Linked DNA regions of Notamacropus eugenii. The protein of the gene in region 2 purifies or fractionates together with the protein of the main gene of each other region. This does not show direct contact. Links are inferred from orthologs where the notes say so. Each region holds a gene or a part of one and is shown on either strand. Other genes may lie near its edges. The genes, in order: VAMP3, STX7, PTTG1IP and BET1.

Region 1 (7,916 bases), on a different chromosome or scaffold from region 2:
AAGGCTATTACAATCATGTAGGCGTGAGGTAATGAGGGCCTGGATCACAGCAGTAGCAGTGTCTTAGGAGAGAAGGGGGCATGGTCTAAGAGATGTTGTAAAGATAGAATCACCAGAACACGGCATAAGGAAAGATAATGAGTTTTTAGTTCTGAACAAGGAAATTAATCCTTATCAGTTCAGGGTATTTTCATAGTTAAGCCTAAGAATTGTGGACCACACCTTTGCCTCACCCCCATTAAGGACATAGTTAAGTTCATTTGCTATAATTATTGTTTCTTGCTACTTCTGAATGTAATTTTCAGGAATGAGCATTATTAAATTCACACTACCACTAAATAGTAGGTAAATGAAGAAATAACTGGGATAATGCTCATAGCTTTGAATTTATCTATCCTTCAAGGCCAAGATCAAATTTTATTTTTCTCATGAATTCAATTCAATAAATGTTTATTAAGCCTTTTGTGCATGTAAAGCACTTGAGTCAAGGCTCTTCCTAGGGCTGCAAAGCCAAGAAAAATTTAATAGTACCTACCCTCAAGAAACTTATGTTCTATTGGAGATAGAGAGCCATCACACACACAAATAAACACAAAGTATATGAAAGGCGATATAAAGTAACTGTGAAAGGAAGAGACTGCCAACAATGGGGAGGGACAGAATCAGGAAAGTTTTCTACTAAAAGGAGACACCAGAATGCTGCTTTGAAGGAAATGGCATTCCTTGACCACTCCAACCCAGAGTAGATACTTTTATTAGTTGATATTTAGTCAGACGATGACATGTAAGGTTATTTTTGCAATTTTTTCCCAACTGGAACTTAAATTCTTTGAAAGCAGAGACTGCCATGTAATTCTATGAATCACCCATAATGTTCAACATTATCTTGAACATATTGATGAGCAGCTATGTGATGCAATAGATAGAGAGCCATGCCTGGACTCAGGAAAACCTGAGTTCAAATATGGCCTAGATACTCACTAGTTGTGTCACCCTGGGCAAGTCATTTCACCATTTGCCTCAGTTTCCTCATTTGTAAAATGAGATAGAGAAGGAAACAGCAAACTACTGCAGTATCTTTGCCAAGAGGATCCCAAGTGGGATCATGAAAAGTCAGACATGACTGAAAACAACTGAACAACCACATAGTAGTACTTAGTATGGGGCACCTAAGGTGGAGAAGTGGATAGAGTGCTGGGCCTGAGTTCAGATCCAGCCTCAGACACTCACCAGTTGATGGACCTTGGTTAAGTTACTTCACCTCTGCTTGCCTCAATTTTCTCAACTGTAAAATGGGGCTAACAATAGCATTTACTTCCGAGGGTTGTTAGGAGAATGAAATGAGATAATATTTGTAACGACGTAGTAGGTATTATATAAATGCTAGCTGCCATTAATACTCTATTTTGGTGGAATGCATTTTCTTTCCTGAGAAGCCAACGAGACTATTCTGATTCTAGTTTCCTAGCCTCCTTTCATTCTCCAAACTTGAGCCCCCTGGGGTGCCAGATAGGATTCTTGGTAAAATCTTGGGTAAGCTCAGGAAAAATGCATTTAAAAGGTCACACTGTAAAGCACAGTCACCAAAGGGACCTTAAAATCCTAAGCCACATTCCTTCAAGAGGAAAAAGTGAACACTCCCAAAGTTGTGCACCGGTGACAAATGTCTGACTGCAGGGAGAAATGTTCCACAAGCACTCCACAAGAAAGTAACTCAAAATTCCTAGGAAGCCTGGTTCCTAGACAATAATGTTCATGATCTGACTTCTCCCTAAAGATCCACAGCGACCCCCTGGGGGCAGCCACAGCGACCCCCTGGGGGCAGGGACCCCCCCCCCAGTTCATGCTTCTTTACTCGCTTATGTAGGGAACCGTTCCAGCGCTGCCAAAGCGCCTCCCTGAGCCTCAGTTTCCCCCTCTGTAAAATGGGCACACATATCCCCGCCCCACACAGGGTCGTTCTCGGGCTCCAAGGGGACCCCGCCTAGAAAGCGCTCCGAAGGCGCTACATAAACGTCATCACCGCCGTCATCATCGTTACTGCTGCCGTGCCCACCACGGAGACCCTTCCAGAACGGAAAGGGCGGAGGGGGCGGAGGGGGCCCAGGAGGGGCCAGGGCCCGGGGCAGGGTCTCCCGCCCCCTCCCCCTCCCTTCCACGTCCAGGCTCCGTCCCCCCCGCCGAGGCGCGATCGGAACCCCGCCGCCGCCTCCCCTCGGCCGCTCCGGACCCCGGGGCTTCCCTCCTCAGACTGGAAGCTCCGCGAGGGCAGGGCCGGCTCTATTCGTAGGGCGCGTACGAGAATACAAGCGTACAGGCTGCGGCCCGCGTCAGGGCGTCCCCCGCAGCCCGGGCCGCACGGAGGGGGCACGCCCCGGCAGCAGCCGCGGAGCCAGACCCCCGCCCGCTCGGGCCCCGGAGGCGCGTCACTCACATCTCGGCGGCTGGCCCCTTCGTCGGGAGAGGAATCGCTCTGGCGGGCTCTGCGGGGCCTCGGAACGCGGAGGGTGGAGCGGCTCACGGACGCCCAGACTCCGTCTGCCTGCTCGCCTGCCAGACTGGTGGGCGGGGCGCGGCTGGTGACGCACCGGAGGGAAGAGGCGGAGCTTGGAAGCGAGGCGTACGCACGCACGCACGCACGTCCGTCTGCACGGGAGAGGAAGAGGGCTTAGACGCACGCGCGCAGGCGCGCGGGCACACCTCTCCCTGAGGAAGTCAGAAAGGGCGGAGGCAGGGGCGTGCGCGTGCGCGCCGACCAACGGACGGAACGGATTCAACGGGCGCTGCTGCCGCTCGCGGCGCTGTGACTGACAGAGCAGAGGGGGAGGGGTGGCGGCCGCCGTCCGTGCCCATGCCCTCCCTCCCTCCCGCTTCCCTCAGTCTGCCCCCCCGTCCAACTCTCTCTCCGGGCTTTCTTTTTTCCCCTCCCCTGGTTGAGTTTCTTTGGACCCTTGTAGGAAGCCGCAGGAATAGGCGGCCCCAGCGGGGGGAAGGAAGTGGCCCGGGTAAGTGAGGGTGGGGGCGGTGCCCTAGTCGGCCTCACCCTGGCCTCTGCGCTGACCCCTCCCAGGTGGGGGTGGGGCGGGGGTGGGATTGGAGAAGGCGGGACCGCGAGTGCGCGCATGCGCGCTGTACTCCCTCTGAGGCTGCCGGGAGGATGGTCCCTCTTCCCAGGTGAGGTAAGCAGTGCCCGCTGTGCCCCATATATAACCGTACAGGAGGGGTCCGGGCAGACCTGCATTAGAACTGGGAGGTATTTATGAAAGCCAGACGGATACAACGAGCTTGGCATTGCCTCCCATGTTAGCAGACCGCTTAATTCGTGCTTTTCCCCAGTCATTCCTAAATAAATGCACAGGTCCGAGCTGCGATAAGTGTGTTTTCCGCCAAAAGATTGGGAGGGACCCTGGCTCTCTTAGTTACCCCTTCGGTGACTGAGAAAGCAGCGTGCCCCATACGAATCTGAATCTGAATTTTCTCATCAAAACGAGTCCAGACTAGGGAAAGGATACAAGGGATGCCCTCAGGGAGCACAGAGTCATTGGAGACCTGACTGACAGCTGTGCACCTTTAGTAAGACAGCAGGTGTGAGGCTGAGTGCTGGGATAATCAGATTGATTCTGTCTTTTAACTGATCCTATTTTATGGTGACTTGATTTTGTCCAGTTATGGCCCAAATCGTGGTTCTTGTCTCTGAACTTAGTATGCAGTGAATTAAGGTTAAAAGTCCATTCTTGCCTCAAGGGATTCTGCTTTCCTTGGGGGATGCAGGTGGACATCAGGGAGTCTGGTCTGGTATTTTTACACCACCAAACTGCCCTTCAAGGGTGTCTGGTTTACTCTGCAAAGAAGTCTGGTCCACTTTATCTAATCTTGCGGGTAGACTCAAGGAACATTCCTTAACTACAGGAGAGGAAAGGGGTGTTTGTTGCTAGGCCCTGGTTCCCAGTTTCCAACCAATCGTGTTGTCGCCCCATGCCTCAGCTCTGTAATCATTCATTTTGATTTCACCATTCATGATGCTGAGCTCTTGTTTCCCGCCTAGGAAGTTATGTTCTTTGCTCTATACTCCCCAAAAAAGCTATAAAAGAGAACTATCTCCCACATTTGGAGGGATGTCTTAGCTTCGCTGAGGAAACTGTGATTGTATTTATTGGTAAATTCACACTTTACTAATAAATTGGTCATGCTTAGAAATTTGTGCCTCGGTTTACCTTCTTTTAACAGTTAAAGTAGTAACCTTAAAAGCAATAGGAAGAAAAGGGATTCCAAGAGTAGTCAAAGAAAGCTATGTTGGCAAGATGAGATCTGTGGTGGAATTTGAAGGATGGGTAGAATTTGGTTAAGTAGAGGGGAGTAAAAGTATTTCGAACCTTGTGAGCAAAGGTACAGGGCAAGAACAGTGGCCAAAGAATAATGAGGACATTTGACAGGAAGAAAGGGTGCGTATAGATGAAGTAGTTAATAAGACTGGATAGGGACACATTTTGGAGCAGAAGAATTGGGATTGGAGTTGGCAATAGGGAACCAACATAGGTTTGTGAACAGGGGAGTGACTTGATAAATGGGAATTTTTAAGGAAATTCTTCCACTAAGGCCTTGTGTCTTGGTTGTAGGTTCCTGAAGCTATGTAAGCAAAGCTTAGGTTTGGGGAGGCCCTCTCAAAACAGAAAGGCTCTGAATACTGGGTACCAGTTCTCAGGGTATCAGTCCTGCAAAGTTTGAAGAAGCCAAAGATGTGTGTGGTGTGGTGGAGCCTGGCTAGGGAGCCAGTTGTTAAAATGTCAGTGTGAACATTTACACCTTAACTTGACTGCTGATTGCCTGGACTTAAAGCAATCAAGGAAATGTTGGTAATTCAGACTCAACTTAAAAGTATGTCAAGAATACGTTACCCCTGCCCCCAACAAAAACAAAACAACAAAGGATTGTTAAACATTTAGTAGCACATGCTGGAACTGGGTCAAATGATGGGGCTGGACTAAATGACCTCTAAGGTTTCTTCCAGCATTAGGTCTATGATCCTATGAAGGGTGATCGTTTTTTTTTTTTGTCCATAACCACTCTTAGATGTGGTAGAGTTGTGCTCTGCATCTGTGGAAGGGCCCTGTAAGATATTAATGAAATCCCAGGTTGGAGTAGACTGGATTTAAAGTGGGAAGAGTCTCTTGAGGGAGAGACCAGCTAGGATATTGTTGCAATAATCCAAATGGGAAAGGTGCAAAGGGCCTAGGCTAGGATGCTGGCAGTGGGAATGGAGGGGAGCCCTGTAGAACTTTAAACAGCTTGCAAGATTGTCACTAGTGACTCAGAAGGCTTCATAGTTACATGTTTTTAATTCAGTCTGGTATTTTAAATACAAAGATTTTAAATGATTTCTCTGTAATTTAACCCATTTAAGTAACTTTATTATTTGCAAATTGAGTAGAACTTTCCTGAGATGTGCTTTGGAGGGCATGTGTGAATCATGTTCATTAAAGACAGATTCTGGACCCAAACTTTGTTTTTTGAAATGGATACGCTTGAAACAACATGAAGTTAAGCACAATGTGCCCTGGTTTTAAATAGCCGAGAAATCTAAATTAAGAACAAAACACACCAACACCTAGTATGGGGAAATTTTCTTCATTTTTAATTTACAGCAGAAAGAATATAAAGCATTCAGAAAACATTTTCCATATTTTAAGGGCAATTCAAAACATTTTGCATGGTTCCAGCAGCTGAGTTCTTCAACAGATCCATTGATTCAGTGATGCTTTACATGCACAATTACAAAAATAAAACTTACAAAAAGGAGACATCTAGACTAGTTTTACATGCAAGTCTTGGGGACCCCCCGTTGGGCGCCAACTACTGTGTGGAACTGCCATAAGCGACCGTGCAACCATAGAGGGGGTTCATGTTATAGTCTTTATTTCGTTCACACAGTACAGCTGATTTCAAATGTGTAATAATAGCAATTAAATTTTCAGGAGACAGAATAATATTAGCTATTAATTTTTATAATGAAATCCTACTCCTGGCACTTGGGAATTCAGATTATCCAAGAAAGCTGCGCTTACCTATCATCTTATACTCAAAACTATGATCCACAACCAAGAAAAGGGCGATCAGAAATGCATTCTTTCAGTGGAAGTGCATTTTTAGCTAACTCAGTGGTCAGTGGTGGGTTATGCAGTAGGCAGTAAACCTACTTTCTCTTCCCTCCAGGAAGACCCTCTGAGTTGGAAGAGTAACATTAAGTATTTCTATATCTTACTGAGTCTTCTATCTTGCCCATCTAATAAATGTATGTGAAACGTTTTTTTTGTAGAAATGTGAGGGTTAAAACAAATCCACTGAGGTCATTACTCTTGTTAAAGATCCATTCTTTTCATAACAAATGGAATAAACATGTCTAAATTCACTTTTAATACAGGACATTTCGAAAGATCTGGCCTTCACATTCCATTCCCATTTGTGTGTGCAATTATGTATATGTGTTTATGAGTGTATAATACTCAGTGTTCTCCTACAGGCCCAATTTTGTAAAATAATAGATGTTTTGGGACTGCAACAGCTGCAGCATGAGCCACACACTTAAAAAAAAAATTGAGTTAGGTCAGTTTACAAATGTACAGGTGGCTGTTCGTTGTGGGACTGTCACTGTTGTCAGAGCTGATCACGAGCAGTAAGACGTATACTGTACAGTAATTCAAGGTTGGCAGTGAAAGGAAGTAATTAAAAAACAAGTACAATTATAGAAAAGGCACCAAGAGCACTGACCCCAGTTTTTACCCCAATCCTTTTGTATATACCTTCCTTCCAAAGACACCAGTTTAAAAGCTTCTTATTTGTGAATATTTTTAGGCTTCACAACAAGCCTTGCATTTTCACTTACAGTTGATGGCCAAAATCAAGTAAGAACAAAACTAATTGTCATTAACTTTACACCAACTGATCTTCAGACTTAGCTTGGAAATTTTAAACTGGTATCAGCAAATACTAACTTACCCTCTCTTAATTTAACATTAGTAGTTTCTATTTTTTTTTTTAAAGTATCTGATTTCTTTGGCTCCTCATTATGTGGAAATAGTAATATACCATGACACCCCTACAAGACCAGTTTGCATCATTTTAATTTTAATTTTTTTAATTTTTTTGTGCAATTTTTATTACATTTTCTGACTTCCAGCAGGAGATATGAAAATGTGAAACATATTTTTCTACTTTCAGACTATTTCTTTTTTTTTTTCAGTTTATGTTCATTCTAAGTGTTCTTTATTGGAGTGAGTGGATGGTGTTAAGCTATATACTGGTTTTTCTTATGATTATCTGCTTTGCAAAATTAACTTAATTTTCTTAAGCAATATTAGCATTCACATTACTTGGCACCATTGGCAAAAAAAGTTAAAATAAAATTAAATCAACTCCCGGTAGCCAAAATTAAATGTAAACATATCCTTTTTTTTGTTTTTTAGTAATGTTACTCTGCCTTTTTTTCCTAAGTCTAAATACAGTAGCTCTTTTTTTTTTTGCAGTTTAGTCATGCTTTAGCAAAATGTTCTTCTAAAGAACATTTAAAATAAAGTACTCTTATAGTGAAATAAAGTTTTTGTTTCATTTTACAGACCATAGCCACTAATGCTTTGCTTTTTTTCATTTCTTTTTTTTCTTGAATTCATGCACATATCTCTGTTTTAATATATACAATATGTACAAACAATACATCCACACTTTTCTCGCTCATTCAGACAAAACTATACAAATAATAATTTTATCTTGCCATGTTATTGACCCTTTGTGAATAAAATATTTAGTAATTAATCAATATAATCCCTTTCAAATAGTATTTCTCATTTTCCATTTCTACCTTCTATATATACACAGAAACTGCTCAGTTTTGATGAAATATCGCCAAAATATGGATTTTACTG
Region 2 (7,599 bases):
GGTGGTGATTTTGGTGGAGTTCAGACTAGTTCCTGCCTTATTCTGCCACTTTGGCTCCACTCTCTCCATTTTTACATTTGTGCAAATCTCTTTAATATCTGACTTAGTAGAAAACTAATGGATTTTCATATCCTCTTCTGCATTAAGTCTATTGTTAGATGCTATTTTGGTTGAAGTGTTTGAAGAGAATTCAGCCTCACACAGATACGTTTGGAAAAGAGAGAAACATTGCATACAACTGGAAGTTAAGATATACAGGCAATGGAGTATAGAAATCTATTTTGCCCTACAGGAAAATAGAGGGGAAAGGGAATGGAAGAAGGGTGGGTAAAAGAAGAGAGGACAGACTGGAAGAAGGGGTGGATGGGGTGCATACTGTCCTAGGTAGGGGGTAGGGAGAGTTGGTGTGAAAATTTTGAATTCAAATTCTTGTGGAAGTGAATGTTGAGAATTGAAAAATAAATAAATTATATATTAAAAAAAAGAAAAGATTGAAGCATTTCATAATTGTGAATATCTTCTTTGATGCTATATCAAAACTTGACCAGTTACTGTTACAAATGTAGTGGTAATTGACAAAGGTATGAATCCAAAACATTATCAATAAAGTTTTTATACTGCTATATTAAAAGTCATTGTTCCATATTGTGCTTTGAATGGATCCTTTACTCATTCATGGTTTTATAGCATCCTGCTTTGATCATTTGGAAAATATTGGTTCACTAAATTATACATAACTTCCAAATGTTGATGCATTTCATTATACAACATTGTAAAATCATATTTATTTATATCACCCCTAATCTCATCAGAAAAATCTTTAAGTGTTGGAAAACTTTCAAACTCATTTTTGGTAGACACACATTTTCCAAAATTCTATTTTTGTTGACATTTTAAATTTTGTCTTTAGCAACAAATTCTATCAATTGTTTTCCTTGAAGTAAGCAGACCATTGCACTTATTTCTGGAAAAAAAAAAAACTACCATGTATCCAAGTCTGAATAACAATAGTGTGTCTTATTTCATTCAAGTAAAAATGGTGATCTATGAAAAAAAGTGCTTGTTCATCTGGCAACTCACATGATTGCACAAGTAGTCTTCCTGGAGACAACCATCACTCTTCAGCATGCAGCAGAAATGGTTTATATATATACTTCCCATTTTGTCACACAGAATACTAAAAAGACATTACTGAAATGTTGAGATTTAATAAAATTAATATTTTCTATTACTTCATCAAGGACATTCTTAAGTTAAACTTTTTTTTTCATTGCAGGTGAATGGGGATGATGAATACAATGACTACTGGTAAAGTTTAGAGTCCATCCCTTGATTTGTGCTGTGGCACTAGGAGTTTTATCTAGAATTTTGTAACATCAGCACAAAAGTCAACACAGTTGCTCCAGGATAAGCCATGAGATTCAAAAAAGTTATTCAACACTTTGTGTATTTCAGCACCATTTGTGTTTGTTGCCAAGAATTCACATAAAGTTCTTCAGTGATTTGCTGGAATACAAGCAAAACATCAGGTTTAACCATGTTCATACATTTGTCCAAATACAATTCTGTAGATGAGATATCTTCATTATTGCAGCCAAATCTTCATTTCACATATCAGTGGAAAACTGCACTATACAATTGTGAAAGGATAGTGAAAAAAGCAAATAACATCTTAGTATTATTGTGAAAATAACTTTGACCTTGCAAACCACTTGAAAGGGTCTCTCTAGGACCTACAGGAATTCTCAGATCATACTTTGAGAATAGCTGTTCTAAAGGAAACAGATATTTCTAAAACAAATATGTGATAAAGACCACTCACTTCCTTTCTGTTAAGACACAGTCAGTTTCATAGAATTACAGAACTTGAGAGTTGGAAGGCACCTCATTGGCCTTTAAAAGGTGATCATCAAAAAAAATTCCTCTAACTTCTTTATAAGTTACTAGCATATGAGCATGAAACTTCTGAATAGTCTATAAGCCTCTGTGCCTTTTGGTTTCTTATTATTGTACCATATTCTCTATCTAATCTTACCATTCTCCTTATACCCACTTTTGTCTTGAAGTCAGAGATTCATTTCATAGATAGATTCATTATTGACACAAAGTAATCTGTCTCTCTCCCTCTTCCCCACTTCATCTTCATGCATAATACTATATGTATGTATTTGTGTTCATATGTATATTCCCACCTCATCTATTTCATTTTCTACAGTAGGTGTTAGTACAAGTCTTCATGATGGATTTGTTTGTTCTAATTAATTAATTTTGCTTAAGCTCATTATATGTGCTTTAGGGTGAGAGGGTCTAGTACCATACAGAAAATTGTATTTCTTGTTGCTCCCTTTGTTGATCAGTGGTCACAATAAGATGTGAGTCTTACCTTCCAAGGAAAAATTCAATCAAAATATTTTTCTAGCCAGCACAATGAGTCCAAACAATGACCTCACCCCTGTAACCTTTCCAAGTTGACCTTCTCATCCACCATCTACATTTTATTTACTTTGAGCAAAGCATCTATTATCTTTCCATGTCAGACAGCATTTCTCAAACACAACAAAAGTTTGTCTGGTTTTTCTGACTTTACAGTAATTTCACATTAGGATTAGAAAGACTTGCCTTTCTCCAGGCATTTAAAGCCCTTTATACCTTTTTAGTCTTCTGACATTTTACTCTCCTCCATTCATTCTTGCCCCAGTTATACTGGGCTAATATTGTAACAGCAAGGACCCCAGCATACATAGGAAGGCCTGCTATATAGGTTCTTAGATCTGTTTTTCTAAAAGGAAAGTAACTTTTAAAGGGTCAACAACCTACTTTAATCAAAGCATATACATCATTCACTTGGTTTAGGGGGAAAAGTCAGCACCCTGAACTTCAGAGAAAATACAAACAGAGAAATAAAGATCAACAGACAGATCCAACTGTCTGACCATCTATGCATAGTTAGAAGAGAGAGAAGCACCAATATGTGGGTTTTCAAAGCCAGCAGACTCCTTAGTGGCTTACCAGAGTCTTATATGGCACACAAACCTTCCTTCAAAAACTAAGCCCCAAAACAAAACTTCATCTCAGAGTATTTATACACTTTTCAGAGCTAGAGGGCAGGACCCTCTGAACCAGTGTCTCAGTAGAAATTAACAAAAGGTATTGAGGCTTATCAATGGGCAGGTAGTGAAGATCTTTAACTCTTCCCTCCACCTACTATTAACCTTAAATTACCATTACTACTACATACCCTCAAGTAGCATATTCTGTTTTTCATCTCCATACCTTTGCACTGGTTCTCCCCCATGCCTGGAATGCTCTGTCCTCTCACTCCTATCTTCACCTCAAAAATGAATCCCTAAGACTCATTTTAAATTCTGCTTTCTACAGGATGGCTTTGCCTATTACTCCCAAATGATAACACAGAGTACCCTTCCAGATTATATATGCGTAAATATATATTCATGTGTAATATATGGAAATATGATACTATAAATAGACTTATCTGTAAATATATGTGTTTTAATGATGTGGTTTGAGAGGTTCAGGGACCCTTTAAGGACTGAAGTACAGAAGAGGGTTGTCTGAAATTAATTCAGGAACTTGGGTAATCTTTAAATCAAGATTGCAAAAGTTTATTGTAATGCAAATATGACTGACAGAGCTCCTTAAGAAACTTGCAACTTAAACAGGAATGATGCTAAACTTTTATAGGAAATGTAGTAGATTATCTGGCAGATATGCTAATTAGGTGATAACATATAACACACAGGCCTCATTCACTACTGGAAGTCAGGGGAAGGAAGGGGTTTCTCATCTGTGTTTTTTTGGTCCCTCTGCAGCAAGATAGCTTTGAGAGTTGATATCTATAGTTTGACTTCTGGGTTGTATACTATAACTTTGGGAAACAATACATGATGATTCTGCTGGTACAAGAGAGTCTTGTTTTTACAAGAGAAATTCTACAAAGGTCAGATTGTTCTTGGAAGGGAGAAACATAGTTTGTCTTACTGGGGCCCGCTGATGAGTTATTGCTAGGCTGGGGTAAAAAATTGTCAGGGATAGTGTTTTGAGGCAAGGGAAAATATGATGTTGGAAGAGGGGTCCACTATCAGCATCAGTAATGTAGGTAAATACACATATCTATCCACATATGTAATCTAGGTGAATATAAGATGTATACAGATAGTCTGTATATACACATATAGAGATCCATACAGTCTATCTGTTTATTTATATATCTTAAATTGACCTAGTTATTTTGTCTACTTATTTACATGTTGTCTTCCCCCTTCCCCGTTATCTTAGACTGAGCTTTTAGAGATCAGGAACTCTTTTTGGGGGGGTCCCCTATTTTGTGTCCCTAGCATTTAGCACAACAAACGCTTCTTGGCTATCTGACCGCCATCACACTCTGGATGTTACTTTTCTTCTGCGCCTTTACATTTTCAAGCCCAAACTGTGACATCTTTGTCTCCATTTTCAGGCCAAAACTGTGACATCTTTGTCTCCGTCAGCACAAAGTCAAAAGCAATAATCGTCTCTCTCTTCCCATTTCTAGGCGGAGAAAACTGGGCAGAAAGGGCGGGCTCTGACTCCACCCTGAGCCCCAGAGCGCGCTTCCTACCTAAGGGTGAGTCGGAATGGAAGTTCCGGACACGTTCATTGCCATAACTGCCAAGGGGTCCGTGGAAAAGGGATTCTTTTGGCAATGAAATGCAATTTAATCATGCCCATGCTTCACACCAACAGGTTGGGATCTTCTGCGTCCGCAGAGGGCGGCGGCGGCTTTCTTCCCGGTAAAGGAGACGGACAGGTAAGCTGGCTCCTGACAGTACACACCTACCGAAGGGCTCAGCTACGTCTGCTCGCCGACTCCCTGCTTCGCGCAGAAAAAAGGGCGGGGCGGGCAGGAAAGGGTGCGTGTCACTCAGCCCTCGGGGCCAATGAGAGAGCTCGGGGCCCGCCCCCTTTCCTGGGCTCTGCGGCCGGGCCAGCGCAGCAGGGAGGCGGCTGCTGCGAACCACCGCCCATCAGCTGAGAAATTCAGCCGGGTGCCTTCCGGGACGCTTAGGGGTGGCCGTCGGTGGAGGAGGAGGAGAAGGTGGAGGTCTCGGTAAGAGGACGTCTGGGGCCCCTGGGCCGTCTGGCGCCCGCGGAGCGGCGCCGCTGCCCTTGCGGCCTGCCCGCCGCCTGCGGGGTCTCCGCAGCCTTCCTCCGGCGGGGTGTAAGGCGCTGTCCGTTGGCCGCCGCCCTGGGTTTTGCCGCAGCTCCTGGACAGGGCGGCCTGTGCCGCGGGAGTCGCAGCCACGGACCGGGCGCTGCTTGTCCCCGCCTCCCTTCCCCCTTGGCGGGGGCCGGGGCGGAGGAGGCCTGAGCAGTTTCTAGCTGCCTCGGGGCTGACGGGCGTTTTTTCCGGACCTGACAGAAGGCCGGGGGGATGGGGGATGGGGGGCTAGTTCCGCATTCCCGCCCAGCCCAGCTGGCCCCGGGACGGCCGACTGGCCTCTCCCTCCCGGGGTGAGCCGGCGCCCGCCCCAGTTGTGTTCCCCGGTCTCTGCCTGTGCTCCTGCGGTCCCTGTCGCCTCTGTATTCCCAAAGCGCTGCCACCTGAACCTGTTGCTGAGAGGGCACTGGAGAGTAAAGCCAGTGCCCATGCGGGCACCAGGGGAATGTGACTTGGTGTAACACTCCTGTCCCTCTGCCTGAGCCCTCCCAAGGCTTCTCTTTCTTTGCTCATCCGGGCATGAGCACCATGCACAAAGACCACTGCACACGTGAAGTCAGGAGATAGGGAAACAGCTCGTGGTGTTCCGTCCCCTGATTAAAAGTTCTGCTGGGAAACATTGCCACAAACCCTGGCGGAGCTAGCTGACGAGAAATTCATAATTGTGCCCCTGAGGGATGGAGTTGACCTCTTCCTCTTTTCAACTTGTGTTTAATAAACAAGTCTCCAAGTATCATTCAGGAACTGAAAAAAATAGACTACTGTACTGAAATAAATGAACCATAATTTGTATTGTCAGGAAGTCACACGTTCGGTTAAGTTCTTTTGTTGACTTTGGTTAAAATTTTTAATTTTCAGTTACTTTTTTAAAAAGTTGATTATTATGAGTTTTTGAAACAAAGCAGAGTCCATGTTCTTCCTAGTCACTTTTTTTCTTACATTTCCCGTAAATAAAAAAATGCATTGCCTGGGTTACATCACATTTTTTTTAACCTTTCAAGTTATTTTAAATTGAGTAGTTATCTTAAATGTATTGAGGTTGACGTTGTTTGCACTGCCTCCAATATATTCCAGCTATGCTTGTTCAGAACAACTTCCTGCCTATGTGTGGACTCAAGCAAATCATTTTTTTTCCAGTTTTGTGAAATACTTCTCAGCTTGGTAAAGTCCTGATAGCTTAGCAGGCAGCCCTTCTGGACTAGCCTGTGCCACACCTGTGCAAAGATTGATAATGGTTCTGACTTAAGTCTTGTGATATGGAATGAGCAGCAGTAGCAGGTTGCTTCAAACTTGTGACTGCAGGATTATGTTCTGGATTCTTAGTTTCCACATCAGTTAATAAGAGACCATATTAACTCACTAACACTCTGTCCCATCTTTGTTTTTTTCTCCCCTCTGGTCACTTTACTTTACTCCTCATGACACAAATCCTCTAAATTCTAGTCACTAGTTTTCTCTAAGTTCCAAATATTTGGTGCACACAAGTAATACAGGTGTGAATAAAGTAAGAATGAACTTAAATATGGAATTCTAATTGATCCCAAATTTGGGTGCTTGTTGTGGTGAAAGTTGTGGTGAACATGAAAAATCTTTATGGTAATGTAAGCTGAGATTGAAGAGATTTTGGATGGGCTAGAAGAGCTCTGAAGTGAAGCAGATGTTTTTAAAAAAAAAAAAAAAGCTCTAGAGAGAGAATCTCCAAATAGTCTATGATACTTTCTATACTGGGGAACAAGTTTGTCGACTACATATTGTTACGGAATAATAACAATAAGGGATAGGTATTGAACCTGCCATTTCATTGACATAGAGAACTCCCACATGTGGAAACTGCTTCTACCAATGCATATTAGCACGTTCCCTGAAATTTGTAGTTTTAGAGAGTTGCCTAGAACGGTGATAGATTAAATGAATCGTTCAGGGTGTGTACATCAGAGGCAAGACTTGAACCCAGGTCTAACTACTACACCAGACCACCACAGTAACAACCATAATAAACACCTTCTAGTGTTCAGGTCCTTCTAGACCAGATGCAATTGATGCTTTTTTTAAAAGGCACTTGAAATTTGATAAGACTTAAGTATTTCTACATTATACTTCATGCTTTCTGTCTGTCTTTATTATCAGTGTTCTGATAATAGCATTCTAAAGCTTTTTCAAATAACAGAAGAAATAAAACATGTTCTAACTATCAGAACCAAATTCATCAAATGAGAGAGTTTGGTCCTTGAAGGCATTCTTAAATTCTGGTTCTTCTGTGTTGTCATTGAGTCGTTTCAGATGTGTCTGACTCTCTATGACCTTATTTTAGGCTTGGCTTGGCAGAGATACTGGAGTGGTTTGCCATTTCCTTCTCCAGCTTATTTTGCAGATGAGGAATTGAG
Region 3 (7,259 bases), about 150 Mb from region 2:
CCACAAAGAATCTGTGTCTGTGCCCAGGAGAGGGGCAGCATACTCCAGCAGGTGCTAAGGAGAGCCAGTCCAGGCAGAACCGATATGCCCTGGATGTTGGCAAGGCAGAACTTTGGGCAGGGCATTTTAGCGGTGGCACAGGAGATGGGGCATGAGCCAGCAAAGCACCGGAGTGTATAGAGGCATCTGTCACCTGTCACCAAAGGGAGAGGAGTGAGCTGGGGCTGGGGACAGAGTAGTCGTCAGGACCAGATGCTGCAGAGTGACCAGGGAGACCAGAACCAAGCATTGAGCTGGTGAGATACTTGGTACCCTGTGAGAGTTTCAGCCTAATTCCAGGGTCAGAAGCCAGAGCGTAGGAAGGGAATGGAAAGTGAGTGGATAGAAGCCAAAGCTGACCACCAGTATTTGGCTATAGAGGAAGGAGAGGTCAAGGAGTGTAGGGCAGCACATGAAGAGACCTGGGCATGTTTGTAAGCAGGAGAGCCGTTGCTGTTGAATAAGAAGAGACTGCTCCCAAGAGGTGTTGAGTTGGGGGGGTGGTGTGTGGAGACATGGACAGGGGAAACCTCTGGGGATGAGAGCAGCTGGCACTCAGGGACAGGAGAAGAGGGTCCACCTTTGGTGCCAAACCCAGAAGAGAAGGAAAAAACCAGTCCAACAAAACTAGCCAACACATGGGGAAAAATTTGACATCATATACCCATGGTCTCCTTTCCTCTGGCTGGAAGGTGGGGAGAGAACAGTCTTCTCCAGCCTCCATGCCCAGCCCTAAACGTTTGTTCATTTTCTATACTGTTTGCCTTCCCAGGATAATCCCCTTTTCAAGAGTGCAACAACAACTGTTATGAATCCCAAGTTTGCCGAGAACTAGGTGGCCCCTGTTCCTGCTGAAAAGCTGCCAACAGCCCCCTCCACTCACCTTCTAACAACCATATCTGCCAAGGAGAGTCATCACTGGCCCTGCAGTGGACCCTGGGCTTTGGGCTTGGACCCTAGAAGGCACCTCTCCTAGCAGCCACCAAGGCCACGTCAGCTACACCTCTGTTGTTCAGACCCTCATAATATTCTGACCAGTGTGGGGACCTGCCCACTGTCTCCTGCAGATCCTACACTCACCAGGATTTTTTCCTGCCTTCCCTGAGAACTTGAGCACTGGGCTGGACAAGTCTGAAGGTGGACAAAATCACACTGAGTGTCCTGTTTGGTCAGGCCCCCCTGCCCAGGATTCCTAAATGCCGGCCTTGCCAACCAGATGAATGTTCTCTTTCCATATGTCTCTGGTTCAGCCCACATCTGATGGATATTTACTTTCTTTCTCCTACCAGCACTTAGAGTCTCTCTGTCTACCCTGGGATCTTCCATCTACCTCTTCCACTTGGCACCTACTCCTGACATTAAAGGGGATTTAAGCTGGTGTGGGGTTTGGAAATACGTGATAGAATGATGTAGAAGGTTAGGTTGTTGGTACTGAAAAATGGATAGATGTGTGGAAGGATGGATGGATGATGAATGGATGAGTGGGTAGATGGATGGACACATGGGCCTGAACCCAGAAGCCTGTAGGAACTGAAAAGGGTTGGTATGTGGGGGTGGGATGGGGGGGTACACACTCATCTACGGTCTCATTTTTGCATTGCCAGACTCCGTGATGTTCCTCTATTAGACATCTGTCATACTTCAGTAGGTTTCATAGGCAAGATTTGGCTAGCAATGATCCATGTCCTCTGGAGCTCCAAGTCTGGAATATGGCCCAGTGGTTTGGTAGCACATGCCAGCTGACAGGGTCCTCCCTTCTCCCCACAAAGCAGATCACCAAGCAAATACAAGGATACCCCAACAGTTCATTGTGGTTCTGTTTTTTAAAACCTTTATTAAAATGTCAACAGATTGATTAGTCTCTAATTTCTTCTTTCAAACAAAATCATATACCTTTGGGAGCAAAGTTTAAAGAAATGCCAAGTCCATGCCACTAAACACCACTGTTAAAGCCTGCCTAATCTGACCTCAGATGGACCCTTTTCCTGGAGAAGAGACTTTTCTCTTTCTCTTCCTTGCACAAATCCCAGGTCTTGTCCCACCCACAGGTTCCTGATCCCATCAGCCTGTGCTGAGGAGAGGGTCCCTGGCTGCCTGTCCCCTCCCCTTTTGTACCAGGGGAATGGGGGCCTTCCTCTGGCTGAGATGTTCAGCCAGCTGAAGAACTGACAAAGTTATGTGATCCGTTAGTAAATCAAGGGCCTCCTCAGTCCACCGAAGGGGCCACATCCATTGTCAGGGTTAGGACAGACTGAAACCAAGGGAGGTCCCTTTGGTTCCCTCGTGGGTCCGAACTGGAATGAAGCAGCACATGATTGCCAGCACTTGCTGTCAGCTGCTTCACCCAAACTCTCACCTTCTGTAGCATGAACAGACCGACTGACCTTGTGTTCTGGGCTGTCTGCATTCAGGGCACACACCTCAGGTACCTTTCATGGCCTAGGGAAACATTGATTATTTTGCTTTTCATTTACCACTTGGTTTATTCCATATCTGCCAGGGGGCTCAGTGGTGGGGCAAGGGCTGCACCCAAGGGCACATACCCCGGGGTAGGGGGCACACTCATGACTCCTCCAGGCTCTGGGGCTGGCAGAGAGGGGGGATGGGGAAGAGGTAGGGATGCTGATCCTCAGGGTCAGCTCTGGAGGTACCCCCAACCCACCCTTTCCGATTCTGTTCAGAATGGACCTGAGGCTCAGGAAAGAACCTGGAACTGGCCACACCATGAGCTGGGCTGACCAAGTCAGTCTTAAGCCTAAATTTTAAAGTGGGCACCAGAAAAGGCTATTCTGTGAACCTGGCATCCCTGCATCCCCCTTCACCCACAGGAAGAAGAGGTGTGGAACAGGCTCTGGAGCTCGTTGTGTCTCCCCCCCCCCCCCCCCTTTGGATTTAACTGAAGAAGGTTGGGGTGGCTTTAGAGGCCATGCTCACTCCTCCCTTAAGACCCTTTCCTCGAGATCAATGAATGCAACTCCCTTCTCTTCTCTGTTCTGTTCCTATTTCTTGCCCAGTCAGCAGGTCCGGGTGATATCCCCCTCCCCAGCAGCCTGAGCAGATCCCATTTTAGGTCAAGCCACATTGAGCCTGCTTTGTCTGGGTCAGGGTGGATCTACTGAGGCTGCTGGGGAGGGAGGCATCCCATCTAATAGGATATGACAACGTGCCTTGGAGCCAGGTGACCTGGGAAGGTGATAGGGGCGTAATTGGGGGATCCATGAGGGACAGCACTGTGGTGGTAGGGGGTGCTCTAGACCTCCAATTCCCCAACTCTAAAAGGAGGGCATCAGGTGAGCTGACTTCTGTCCCAAAGGTCAGAGTCAATGGTGTCCTCACCTAGAGAGACACTTTCTGAGGCTACCTCCAGGGCACTCTGGGCTGGGAGGAAGTGCCCCCCACAAGCTCCAGGGCTCTGCCTGGAGGCAGGAGCAGGCAGAGAGGGCTAGGCCAGCAAAGGTAAGGCCAAGAGCCCTTGCTCACTCACCTGGACCAACCCCCTCCTCATTCAGGGACAAGGCACTTGGGTGCCCTTCCCAGATGGCACCAGTGACTGCACTCCCGGGGCCCAGACCAGCCACTGCCTTCCCTGGGGGGGAGGCGAAGGCCTGTTCTAAATTGGAAACTGCTGGATTTGCTCCTGGAACTCCTCGGGGACCTTTCATTCCAGAGCCTACATCTTATCTCTTTCAAGTTTACGTCTACCCTTCCTGTTCCAAATGCTTATGGTAGACAATACTTCAGAAGATGGTTCTGTAAGCAGGAGGGGAACACATGGTGTTCTATCTCCAGTGCCCTGTTGTCTCGGCTCAGAGGATCAGGATAGGGGGAACCTCACTAATGCGGAATCCAGATAACTGAACTCTGGGAGACTGAGGTTTGCAGAGAAAATGATCCCGAATGGGAGGACAGGAGCCCTGCGGCTGAGCTCGGTGACACCCCCAGGGCCTAGGGCTTCCCCTGGGGATGGGGGGCCAAGCTCCAGGTGAGGCAGGATCCAGCCCCGCCCCGCCCAGCCCCGGGGGCCTCTGGGCCGAGCCTCCCCATTTCACAAACAAGGAAACCGAGGTTGGGAGAGGCCTCGTGCTCCCGAGGGTGCCGGCTAGCTCTGGGCCCATGAACAGGCCGCAGGGGGCGGCAGAGAATGAGCCCCGCCCTCCCCGCCCCGCCCCTCCGCTCCCCTCCCCCCTCACCCCCCAGGCACCGGCTCGCTCTCAAAGGAGGGTTTGGCGCCTGCGCGGTGACGCTCGAGCAGGCCCCGCCCACGGCCCCGCCCCGCGCTTGCTCAGTCCGGAGCTGGGATCGCGGCTCACCGAGAGGGGAGAAGATTCTGCGTCCGTCTGTGGCCGCGTCTCCGTCCGAGTACTTGAGCGGCAGAGGCCGCCGAGCGCTTGCTCATGGAGCCCCGGGGCCCGACACGGGCCGTGATGCTCGGGCCGCTGCTGCTGCTGCTGCCGCTGCTCCTGCCTCAGTCCGGGCCGGCCGTGTCGGCCCAGAGCGCGGCCGCTGGTAAGGGGGCGCTGGGCGAGGGAGGGGACGGGGCGGGGGGGGCGTCGAGCCCACTGCGCCTGTGCGAGGCTGGGGAACCGCAACTCTTCCGGGGCACACTGCGCCTGCGCGAGGTGGAGCGGCGCGGGCCCGGCCCCCGGCGCTTTCTCCGTACCCCGCCCGGTCCTGCCCTTTGGCTCCCCTGGTGTTGGCGTCACCTCCGCTACCCCCATTGTTCCTCCGTGAGTGGGGGGAGGGAACACTAGGATTCGGCGTCCCCGCGCCGCGGCCTGGGCCTTCGGGAGTCGGGGGAGATCTGGGCCCGATCTCTGCCCCCGGCTCGTTTGGGGGAGATGGGGGGGACTGGAGGCTCACAAGGGAGCGGGCTCCCCGGAGTTTTGTTTTCCTTTTCTTTCCCCTTGGTGGGGGAGGCGGGGAAATAGATTTTGTTCATTGAGAAAAATAAAGCCCCGACATGCAGGGGCCAGGTTGGGAGGCAGCCCTGTGTGGGCCTCAGTTTCCTCATCTGTAAAACGAAGGGCCCTGAATCTTAGGGCTCCGTCGGGCTCCTCCCCTGGTTCCTTCAGGCTGAAGGGTGATCGTGGTTGTTTCCCCCCAGCTTGCTCGGAGAGTACCAACAGATCCTGCGCCGACTGCCTGAAGAACGTCTCGGTGAGTCCCTTGGCCTGCCTGAGGGAGGGGGCCTCAGCGCTCGCTTCCCGCCGTGTGCTGGGCCAGACGTCACCCTGCCTCCTCCACTTGTGGTCTTCTGTCCGGCCCACTCCCTGGCTCAGTTGCTGGGGCCTTGCCCCCTAAACCTCCCTGTGTCCACATGCGTGCCCCACAGATGCTCATATTCTCTCCTCTCACACATACACACGTACACTCTGACACTCACGCTCTGACTCCTGGGCTAGACTGTGAGCTCCTCGAATGTGGCTTCTCCAGGACCTAGTGCCCAGCAAGCCTTTGAGAAGTGCTTGTTGGTTGGTGGATGGACAGATGGTCAGTCACTGCTGGGTTTTTTTTCTTAGGAAGGGTTTGTTTTGTCTCGGTTTAGGCTCTCCTAGGGAGCAGTCCCAAGGAACCCCCTGCTTTTACAACTCTGGGTCTGGCAGGGACCTTCCCCAGACTCCCCCAGCCAGGCAGAATCAAAGGCAGGTCCCCTGGCCTCAAGGCAAGTTCTGTCCCCAGCACAGACTGGCTTCCTCTTTGAAGAGATTTCAGTCAAGGTGATGGGACCAAACGTAGACATCAGAGGATCCCGATGGCCCATCTGACTCTGGGGGGGTTAGAGAAGGAGAGCTCAATCTGATCATTCTGGGATGAGTGGGGCGGTCACAAGCCCCCAGAGTCAGGCCTTCCAAGCCAGTTTTGCCAGGCCCAGGCCACATGTCTGTACCCATCCTGGCACATCCCAAAGGTACCAAAATGCTATAGGCCTCTCCCCAGCATCAGCCCAGAATCTCTGTGAGATTTGGGGAGGGACAATGAGGAAATTATTTTAAAGTAAGCCCATGGGAGACATCTTTCTGTGTACCCCAAACAGATGTCCTCAGGTCCCTCAATCCAACTTGGCCCTGGGGCCTCTGTTGTTACACTGGTGGTTCAGGTTTCCCACTAATGAATTGGTCTGTTTTGAAAAGAGACTTCTGCCCCAATTTCCTGCTTCCTTCCCTCCTCTGGATAAGTGGGCACTTGCTCTGCTACCCCCTCCCTGGGCTTAGGAGCAGAGGCTGCCAGCCCATGTTAAGCCTCCACTCTGAGATGGCACTGACCATCCCATCTGGTCTTATCCCAAGTCCTGTGTCCTCCCACTTGACCAGAAGGAGCCTTAGAGTTCTGTCCAAGCCCTGGATCTCTGATCCCTAATATCATGCTTTGCTTCTGATGATTCTCTCTCCCACTCACAACAGTGGCTGAGGAAACCTGGGGCACCTTTGTCCTTCTTGTCCTCTCTTTATCCATTTTCTCCCCACCCAGTGAGAGAGGGGCTAGGGAGTGATTGGTGAAGGGCAATAGGTGCAGATGAGGAGCAGGGCTGCCTACCTGCCCCAGTGGCTGAGTCCTTGCAATTGGTCCTCCCTGCCTCTGTTTTTCTCTTCTCCATCTCTTTTACCTGTGCACTCACTCCCCAGTAGAACTGATTGACCTTTATTAAGGATTGAGGGCCCACAAGACAAGATCCAGATGGGCCCTGTTCCCCTGGGACATGGCGGGGGGAGGGGGGGGGGGTGTTCCATTGTAGACCTGGGCTGCCCAGTCTCTGAGGGGGATGCCTAAGTAGTGAGGAACAGGGGAGCCTTCATGGGGGCTAAGACATGGAGACAAGGCAAGGTGGGGACAGGACTGATTGGGGCCAGGAACAGAGGGATGATGCTCTGTCTGTCGGTTCCAGTGCTTTTGGTGCTACACTAATAATGCCTGCCTGGACTATCCCGTCAGGAAGATCCTGCCGCCCAGCTCACTGTGTCCTCTGAGCTCTGCGCGCTGGGGTGTGTGCTGGGGTAAGTTCTCCCTTTGCTTGGCACATCTGCCCTTGGCTATGCATCCGCAAGCTTGAGAGGAGAAGCAGCTTCCCCTGGGTCATAGGGGATCTTCTGACTCCCAAGTGCAGCTAGCACTAAGTCCCTTCATGGAGCACTAGGAAGTGTGGGAGGACTGGGGCCAGGACTTTACATAGAAGAATGCTCTTCACTTTGGGGTGCCTAAGGTCAGTCAGTAAATATTAAGCA
Region 4 (7,449 bases), on a different chromosome or scaffold from region 2:
GGAAACTGAGGCAAACAGGGTGAAGTGCCCAGAGTCACACAACTAGTCACTGTCTGAGGTCAGATTTGAACTCACAAAGATGAATCTTCCTGATTCCAGGCTTGGAGCTCTGGGCACTAAGGCATCTCCTAGTGGTCCCAAGCTGGGCATACAGTAGAGCTCAACGAATCCTTGGCAAATGTTGGAGTGGGACCATCTCCAGTCGTTCTGATGAATATCTGACCACTGCACCCAGATGGCTCTGGAGCAGAAAGTGAGGCTGGGGACTTTGTACAGCCCTATGCACTCCAATCAAAGTGAGCTGCAAGTCATATCATCATCTCCCTGGAGACAAACACAAGGTAAATACTGGGTGAGTGAGACATGCAGAGGAGGGTGGGAGGCAGGGCCCTGGGGGACGGAGTTGGGAGGAGGCAGCAGGAGACAACTGAGCTTGGATGCCAATAAATCATCTAACCAGGCACTTTCTGCTCATTGATAACAGTGTGGATGATGACTGGCCCAAATGGAGGCTGCCCCAGAAAACCCTTGCCCTCCCCTAGGCAAGGTTGGGCTGCATGCAGGGACATCTTGATCAGGGCTGAGCCCCAGGCTGGCTCTGGGGCTGCATGAGTCAGCATCCCAAAGGGCACCCTCCCCTGGGGACACGCAAGTCACCGCCTGGGACACCATCAGCACTGCTCCTGCCCCACAGCCCCAGGGACACTGCCCCCTCCTAGTCGTCCACTTGTCCACATCCACACTGGGGGCATCTGTCTCCACCCTCTTCACATGAGCGCTTTTTTCTTTTTTTTACTGTATTTTTAATTTACGAAAAAAACCAAACATTATGAAATAAAATAAACATAATATAGTAGAGCAATAAAGATGCCTTCCCTCTGCCTTGAGATCCCCGCTAGCTCCTTCCCTTACAGAGCATTGCTTCCACTCCCCCACCCTCATCAGTTCTACTCAGTCCTGTCTCTCCAGACTCCCACCCTTAATTGTGTAGCTGCCAAGCCCCAGGGGCAGACTGCTCCTCCCCTCCCTCTGCTTTTGCCCCAAATGAGCTGCTAAAGGAAGCCAAGGTCACAGAACCGTTTGGGATGGATCCCAAACCTCACCTCATAGTCCCCTTTCATGTCTCTTCTCCTCCCCTTCTCCGGTCTCCCCAGAGGGAGCAGTCCTTTGCCCTCTCTCCCTCTCCCTCTACACCTTTATGTATCATCCCCAGGGCCTGTTCTGTCCTCTGCCATGGTTGCCCTGGAGTTGACCCTCATCACTTGGCACACTGGATCGGCCTTCCTTAAACATGGCACCCCCTTCTTCATTCAAACCCACGGGCTCCCTGCTGTCACTAGGACCAGACATGAATTCCCGGTCACATCCTGGCCCGACGTTACTTTCCAGTGGGCATCCTTGCTGTTCCTGTCTCCGGACTCTACGGGTTGTGGCTGCTCCGACATCAGCATCAGCGCTCTCTCTTCATTTCTGCCTCCTGGCTCAGCTGGAGTCCCTCAGCCTCCTCAGACCTCCTGCCTTCCCTCTGGGAGTCATCTCCAGCTTACCCCATGTGTTGCCCTCCTCCCCACTGGGCCAGAAGATTTCCTGTGAGAGCAGGACCTAACCTCAGCCCTTCCCCCAGGAAGGCATAAGTCTGGCAGAGTAGAGGATTTCTCCTAAATGCCTGACTTGCCTAGACCTCTCTGGCCTCCACTCTCAGAGGCATTATCCACTCCCATGAATTCAATGGCCATCTCTCTGTTGTGATTCTCAGTTCTACTTTGCTATGCTGACCTCCAGCCTCACATCTCTCCCTGCCCAGTGGATATCTCAGACTGTGTTGGGGGTGTAAGCTCAGTTCCATGTGGACAGTCTCAGGCAGGTAAAGGTGAGGACTTCTAAATCTTAGCGTTCTCATGAGGCCCCCCAGGGAACAGCAGGGAATTGAGGTGTGAGACCGAGCTATCTCGTGCATTTCCGCCTCTTCCCGTGCGAAAAGTGCTGGGAGAGAGCATCCCCGCCCTCGAGATTGGCCCAGATCTGAGCACACCTATTGTTATCTAACAGGCACGGTATTCAGGTGCAAACTATGCGGCCGGAGAGCTTAAGTAGGGTCAGGAAAGCCTGAAGGCACTGTTAGCGCTGAAGGGCCCTTACAGGACAGAAGGCCCCTCTTCCTTCTCTCCTCTCTTCGCTCCTCCCTCTCCCCTCTCTCCCCACTTCCACTTCCACTTCCATTCTCTTACTGTAAGATCTTTGCCTCCTTGGGAGATTTCTCTCTCTCCTAAGGAAGAGTTCCCCCTGCACATGTAACCAAGACCCTGAATAAAGCCTAACCCTTGTTCGACTCCAGAAGGTCTCTTCTCTCATACGTTTATCCGGTTTGGCCAGCCGAAGACCTGCGATAGATAAGGTAAGACTCGGGTAGCCCTCAGGCCTCTAAGCCTGGCAAGACTGGATGCCCTAGAGGCATCTCAAAGTCAGCATCCCCAAAGCACAACTCACTCTATTGCCTCCAAGCCCCCGTCACTGCAGGGGGCACCCCATTCCCCAGGCTCCCAACCTAGGAATCATCCAGTGGTCCCCACATCCAAGATGGTGACAAGGCCTGTCAGCTGCCCCTCCTCACATCTCTCCCATTGGTTTTCTTTTGGGCTGTTAGAACAGCCTGATATTGGATCTTCTGGTTCTACTCTCTTCTCCAATACATCTTCCATAGGGGCAGCCAGGTCATGCAGTGGATAGAGTGCTGGGCCTGGAGTCAGGAAGACTCATTCATCTTCCTGAGTTCAAATCTGGGTTCAGACATTTAATATTTGTGTTACCCTGGATACATTATCTAAAACTCTTTGCCTCAGTTTCCTCTTCTGTAAAATGAGCTGGAGAAGGAAATGGCAAATCCCTCCAGTATCTTTGCCAAGAAAACCTCAAAAGGAATCACAGAGTCAGACAGGACTAATAACACACGTTTTCTATATGGACTCCAAAACAACCTTCCTAAGGTACATGTCAGACCACACGATGCCTTTCTCACTACAAACTCCTTAGCCTGGCATTTAAGGACCTGCATAATCTTTCTCCTAGTACTCCAGTCTTATTTCACATTCCTCCCCTGCAGACACACACCTCAAATTCAATGCATCAATCAACAGGCATTTATCAAGACCCTAAACATCCAAAAACAAAAGTAAAAATGCCTTTACCCAGCAGCAGGAGACAGTAGGCACACCCAGAAATATATGGTGGGGCTAGGAGCATCTGTGTGGGTGTGGGATGGGGACCAGGAGCACCTGGGGGGAGGTGGGATGGGGACCAGGAGCACCTGGGGGGAGGTGGGATGGGGCCATGGGCACCTTGGGGGAGGGGGCCCAAGAGTACATCTCCTTCTCTCCCCCAGCCTCTAAAAACTGTGGCCCTTCTCCTTGCCAAGGCCTGTCATGTGTCAGGGAACGTGATTGCATCTCACTTCTCCAGCAGATGATCGTACCCTCAGTTCTTTCTCTCCCCTCCCTAACCTCTTCAGGTCTTCCAGGTCCTTCCCTACTGCCCATCTCTATCTCTCTTTTCTCTTTCTCTTTCTGACTCCTCCGAACCCTCCCCGTCTCTGGTTCTCTCTCCTAGACACCGTATTTTGACACTTTAGTGAACCTAGTTCACTTTAAAACTAGGTCTTTCTCTCCTCTGGGATGATCTCTCACACATTCCTGAAGTTAACAGTGTTCCTAAAGACAAGGTAACCCCCCTTTTAAGAAACAGGGAAAGGAGTTGAAGGAAATACAAAGTAACTACCTCGGGTCTGTAACTGATCGATGGGACAACATGCGGGACCAGATGTGCAGGCTGGGTGCTGAGGACGAGGGGTGAAGACCAGAGGAGGGAGCTGTCCCTCCAGCTGGGAGGGTGGGTGCTGGGGGTTGTTTCAAATTCTTCGTAGTTCATTTATTTGTCCATACTTTATTAAGATCCCACAGGGTGACAGACGGGCAATAGTGCTGAAGGTCCAAGGAAAGGCAGGAGCAGAGTCCCTGCCCCCAAAAGGCTTCCATTCTAACGGGGGGAGTGGGGGAAGGGGGGGAAACAACACACCGAACTTTACCCAAGGGGCATACACACGCGGCGAGGGAGGCGGGAGGAAAGGGAACGTGACCCCCGCCACCATTGGAGAGGGTTGGGGGTCTCAGGTTGGGTCAAGTCAACCACAGCCCCCCCGCCCGCCCCCAACCTCCCTTTCCTCAAAAGGACCTGAATGCTCCCCGCGGCGGCAGGGGTGGCCATGGTGCTGGCCTGGGCGACCCGCCGTGGGAGCTCCCCAACCAGGTCCCCGGCTCAGAGTGCCACACCCGCCCGTCTCCCACCCTCGGAGGAGGGATCCAAGGACCCCACGTCCTTTCCTGGACTACGCTTCCCACAAGTGCCCACAGCACTTTCCGGGACTACATTTCCCAGAAGGCCCCGCGGAGCCCCGCCTGCGGGGTTGTGATTCCCGGCCGCGCTGTCCGTGACGTCATCACCCCGCGCAGACCTCGGCGCTGACGTGGCGGGAGAAAGACCGGGGTTTGGGGGTCACGATGCGGCGCGCGGGCCTCGGTGAGTGGGACGGGAGACGGGTAAACTGAGGTAGACGAGGGGAAGGAATTCGGAGGGCTTCTGCGATAGTTAGGGAAATCGAGGTTGGGGGCGGGATTCTTGACAGTAGGGGAAACCGAGGCAGGGGGCGCGGCCGTATGGGCGCTTTCCGGGGCTGGAGAGCGAGGTCCAGGCCTGAGGGGGCCCAGCGGTCTTGGAGGGGGGCGCCCCTAGGCTTTCTGCCGCCTGTGCAGACTGTGAGCCCCGTGGCCTTTACCCTGGGCAGGTCACGCCCCCCCAGCTGCCTCAGTTTCTCCCACTGTACAGGGTCCTTCCAAACCTCCTCCTCCCCTGCCGCCTCCTGGTGCCGCCTGGCATCGGGGTCAGTGCCTGCCTGTCAAAACCCCGGCGCCGGACTTTGACCTCTGACGGGGTGGGGGGAGCAGCCTAGCCCCTCCCCCCAAGCTCCGTCCAGGTTCCGCCACACAGAAGGCGCCGTGGGTCCACGTCACTCTGGGGATCCTTGGGGCTGATCTTTGGGAAGGGGGGCAGGGGAATCAGCCCATTTCTTAGATGAGCGAGGCTCTGGGGAGAGAAGGCAGCACACATCCAAGCATTTATTGAGCGCCTACTGCATGCCAGGCACCACCCCAGTTCTAGGGATGCAAAGAAAGACAGAAGTTAACTCCAGCTTGGGTGGCGGAGGGGGCAGAGCAGGCTTTCTGGAGTAGGTGAAGATTCTGGGGGCGGCAGGGCCCCCCCCCAAGATGGAACCCCTGGAGAAGGACCCCCAGGTAGATGGATCTAACTCCCCTCCCCGTGCTGTGCCAGGTGAAGGTGGGGCACCCCCCGGGCACCACAGCTATGCCAACAGCGGCTACAGTTCCTTGGAGGAGGAGAACGCCCGGCTGACTGAGAGCCTGCGCACCAAGGTGACCGCCATCAAGTCGGTGAGTGGGAGCCCAGAGCTGGGGCACAAAGCAGGCATCCTGGGCTCCAGCACATCCAGGCCTGAGCCTCGGAGCCCCTGAGCCTGGGGAGGGCTGTGCAAGCCCCTCTTCCCCTAGGCTTTCTGAGGCCTGTGGGGGGTTGAGGAGGAGCTGCAGGGGAAATCTGCCCCCCCATAGTGTTTGCCAGCCTTCCTCTCTTTGAGCCACTGAGTAACAAACCTGGCTTCGTGACCCTCCCTGTTTTTGCCCCAGCCCATGATTCACTTGTTCAGCAAAGTCCCAGGGCAGATGGAGAAGTAAAGCAGACAGAAATGTAGGAGGCAGCACGGGCTTTGGTGGGACCATTAGGAGGGAGGAGGAGGAAGGTCCCTGGCATTCCCCCCCTCCGGCCTCCAGGCCTCGTGCCTCCTCACATTCAGCCTCCTGTCTCCCCTCACAGCTTTCCATCGAAATCGGACACGAAGTGAAGCATCAGAACAAAATGCTGGCAGAGATGGTGAGTGATGGGCAGGGGCGGTCTGGAAATTTAATCCACTGGAGCAGAGCAGACATGTTTTTATATGTGTTTTAGTTTTCCAATGATCAGGTTGGTGTTTTTGCTTCCTCTCTTTCCTTCTGGAAAGAAGAAAAAGAAAAACAAGCCCGTCCCCATTGGCCCTGCACGAGGCGGGGGCCACCATCCCTTACCTCTCACGCCCGGGTGATCACTGCACTGCCCTTGGCTTGGACCTCTCAGAGCGCTTTCTGTTTACAGTGAGAAGCTATGGCCCAGGCTTTCCTGGTTCTACTTCCTCCAGGCTTTGGAAAAAAGTCCTCTTTCCTTTGAGTTCTTTCTCCCTTTCCCTCATTCTGTATTTCTCATTCTTTCACTTTTTCTCACCCTTCCTCCCTCCCTCTTTCTTTCCCTACTTGCCTTTCCTTCTGTTGTCCATTCTCTCCTCTTCCTCCTTCCTCCCTCCTTCCCCCTTCATTCCATCCTTCATTCCCTTCTCCCACATCCCTTCCTTCCTTCCTATGCATGTGCCCTAATTTATTCATCCATCTCTTAGGAGATGGCTTTAGGATGTAGGCCTGCTGATGTCATTGGGTCAAAGAGTTCACACAGTTTAGTCCCTTTTGGGGGCCTAGTTCCACATTGCTTTCCAGAATGTCAGGGTCAGACCACAACTCCACCAGCAATGCATAAGCATGCCTGTTTCTCCAGCCTTGGTCATTTTCCTTTTTTGTCATCTTTGCTATTCTGATGGGGTTGGGGTGGTAGTTCCGAGTTGCTTTAATTAATTTTCCTCTTAATTATTACTGATTTGCAGGATTTGTTCATAAGGGTGTTGATAGCCTGGATTTCTTCTGTCTCTGTCCTGACCATTTGTCAGTTGGGGAATAGGGAATTTAGATGAACTGACTGACCTGTAGAGTGATTCTGCCTTCCAGCACTTCTCTTCTTAGACCAGGGGGGCCCCAAAGGAAGATCCCTCCCCATCAGGGCTTAGGGAGAGGCGGAGATCGATGTGGAGGAGGGCAGGATCTGACCTCTGCCCCCACTTCCTGCTGAACCTTCCAGTGGGATGAACAGGCTGGTCTCCCAGAGAAGGGCTCCTGACTTGGAGGTCCAAAAGTGGAAGGGACAGGAGATGTCTGGGCTGAGCACCAGGATACAGGACTTGCTAGGAATGGGCCTCCTTCCTCTCCTTCCAGGGGTGGAGGGAGAAACAGCCTCTTTCATGGGGGGGCCTGATCTTGTCCCTCACCGAGACTCCCCCTACTCAGGTTTCCACCTTTCTCACTGGCTATTCTCCTGGCAGAGAGAGGCGACCAGCCTAGGTGATCTGTGGGCCTGAGTGGGGCTCTGCAGCCCCCTGGGAAAGCACAGCATGACCACACAGGGGCCAGTTCTTCTCCCTTCTCTCCAGTGTCTCATGACACTCTTAGGGGAAAGGGACCCTATCAGCTC

The links.
Region 1: the proteins of STX7 (region 2) and VAMP3 purify together in Homo sapiens (affinity purification with mass spectrometry; 3 studies listed by BioGRID and IntAct, counting the BioPlex papers as one, with this or other methods). This does not show direct contact. The link is inferred for Notamacropus eugenii from reciprocal best matches to the Homo sapiens genes STX7 and VAMP3.
Region 3: the proteins of STX7 (region 2) and PTTG1IP purify together in Homo sapiens (affinity purification with mass spectrometry; 3 studies listed by BioGRID and IntAct, counting the BioPlex papers as one, with this or other methods). This does not show direct contact. The link is inferred for Notamacropus eugenii from reciprocal best matches to the Homo sapiens genes STX7 and PTTG1IP.
Region 4: the proteins of STX7 (region 2) and BET1 purify together in Homo sapiens (affinity purification with mass spectrometry; 3 studies listed by BioGRID and IntAct, with this or other methods). This does not show direct contact. The link is inferred for Notamacropus eugenii from reciprocal best matches to the Homo sapiens genes STX7 and BET1.

The regions. Positions count from the first base shown.
Region 1 is NC_092876.1:46,453,175-46,461,090, reverse strand, and holds the start of VAMP3 (vesicle-associated membrane protein 3), read right to left. Parts: upstream 3,008-7,916; 5' UTR 2,437-3,007; coding exon 2,435-2,436; intron 1-2,434. UniProt on the Homo sapiens protein: SNARE involved in vesicular transport from the late endosomes to the trans-Golgi network.
Region 2 is NC_092873.1:217,747,422-217,755,020, reverse strand, and holds the start of STX7 (syntaxin-7), read left to right. Parts: upstream 1-4,599; 5' UTR 4,600-4,621; exon of another isoform or gene 4,622-4,740; 5' UTR 4,741-4,804; intron 4,805-4,985; exon of another isoform or gene 4,986-5,104; intron 5,105-7,599. UniProt on the Homo sapiens protein: May be involved in protein trafficking from the plasma membrane to the early endosome (EE) as well as in homotypic fusion of endocytic organelles. Mediates the endocytic trafficking from early endosomes to late endosomes and lysosomes.
Region 3 is NC_092873.1:70,182,922-70,190,180, forward strand, and holds the start of PTTG1IP (pituitary tumor-transforming gene 1 protein-interacting protein), read left to right. Parts: upstream 1-4,258; 5' UTR 4,259-4,433; coding exon 4,434-4,545; intron 4,546-5,143; coding exon 5,144-5,196; intron 5,197-6,922; coding exon 6,923-7,031; intron 7,032-7,259. Other genes in the region: ITGB2 (integrin beta-2), read left to right, coding at 812-874. UniProt on the Homo sapiens protein: May facilitate PTTG1 nuclear translocation.
Region 4 is NC_092874.1:489,427,659-489,435,107, reverse strand, and holds the start of BET1 (BET1 homolog), read left to right. Parts: upstream 1-4,446; 5' UTR 4,447-4,550; coding exon 4,551-4,569; intron 4,570-5,379; coding exon 5,380-5,498; intron 5,499-5,937; coding exon 5,938-5,994; intron 5,995-7,449. UniProt on the Homo sapiens protein: Required for vesicular transport from the ER to the Golgi complex. Functions as a SNARE involved in the docking process of ER-derived vesicles with the cis-Golgi membrane.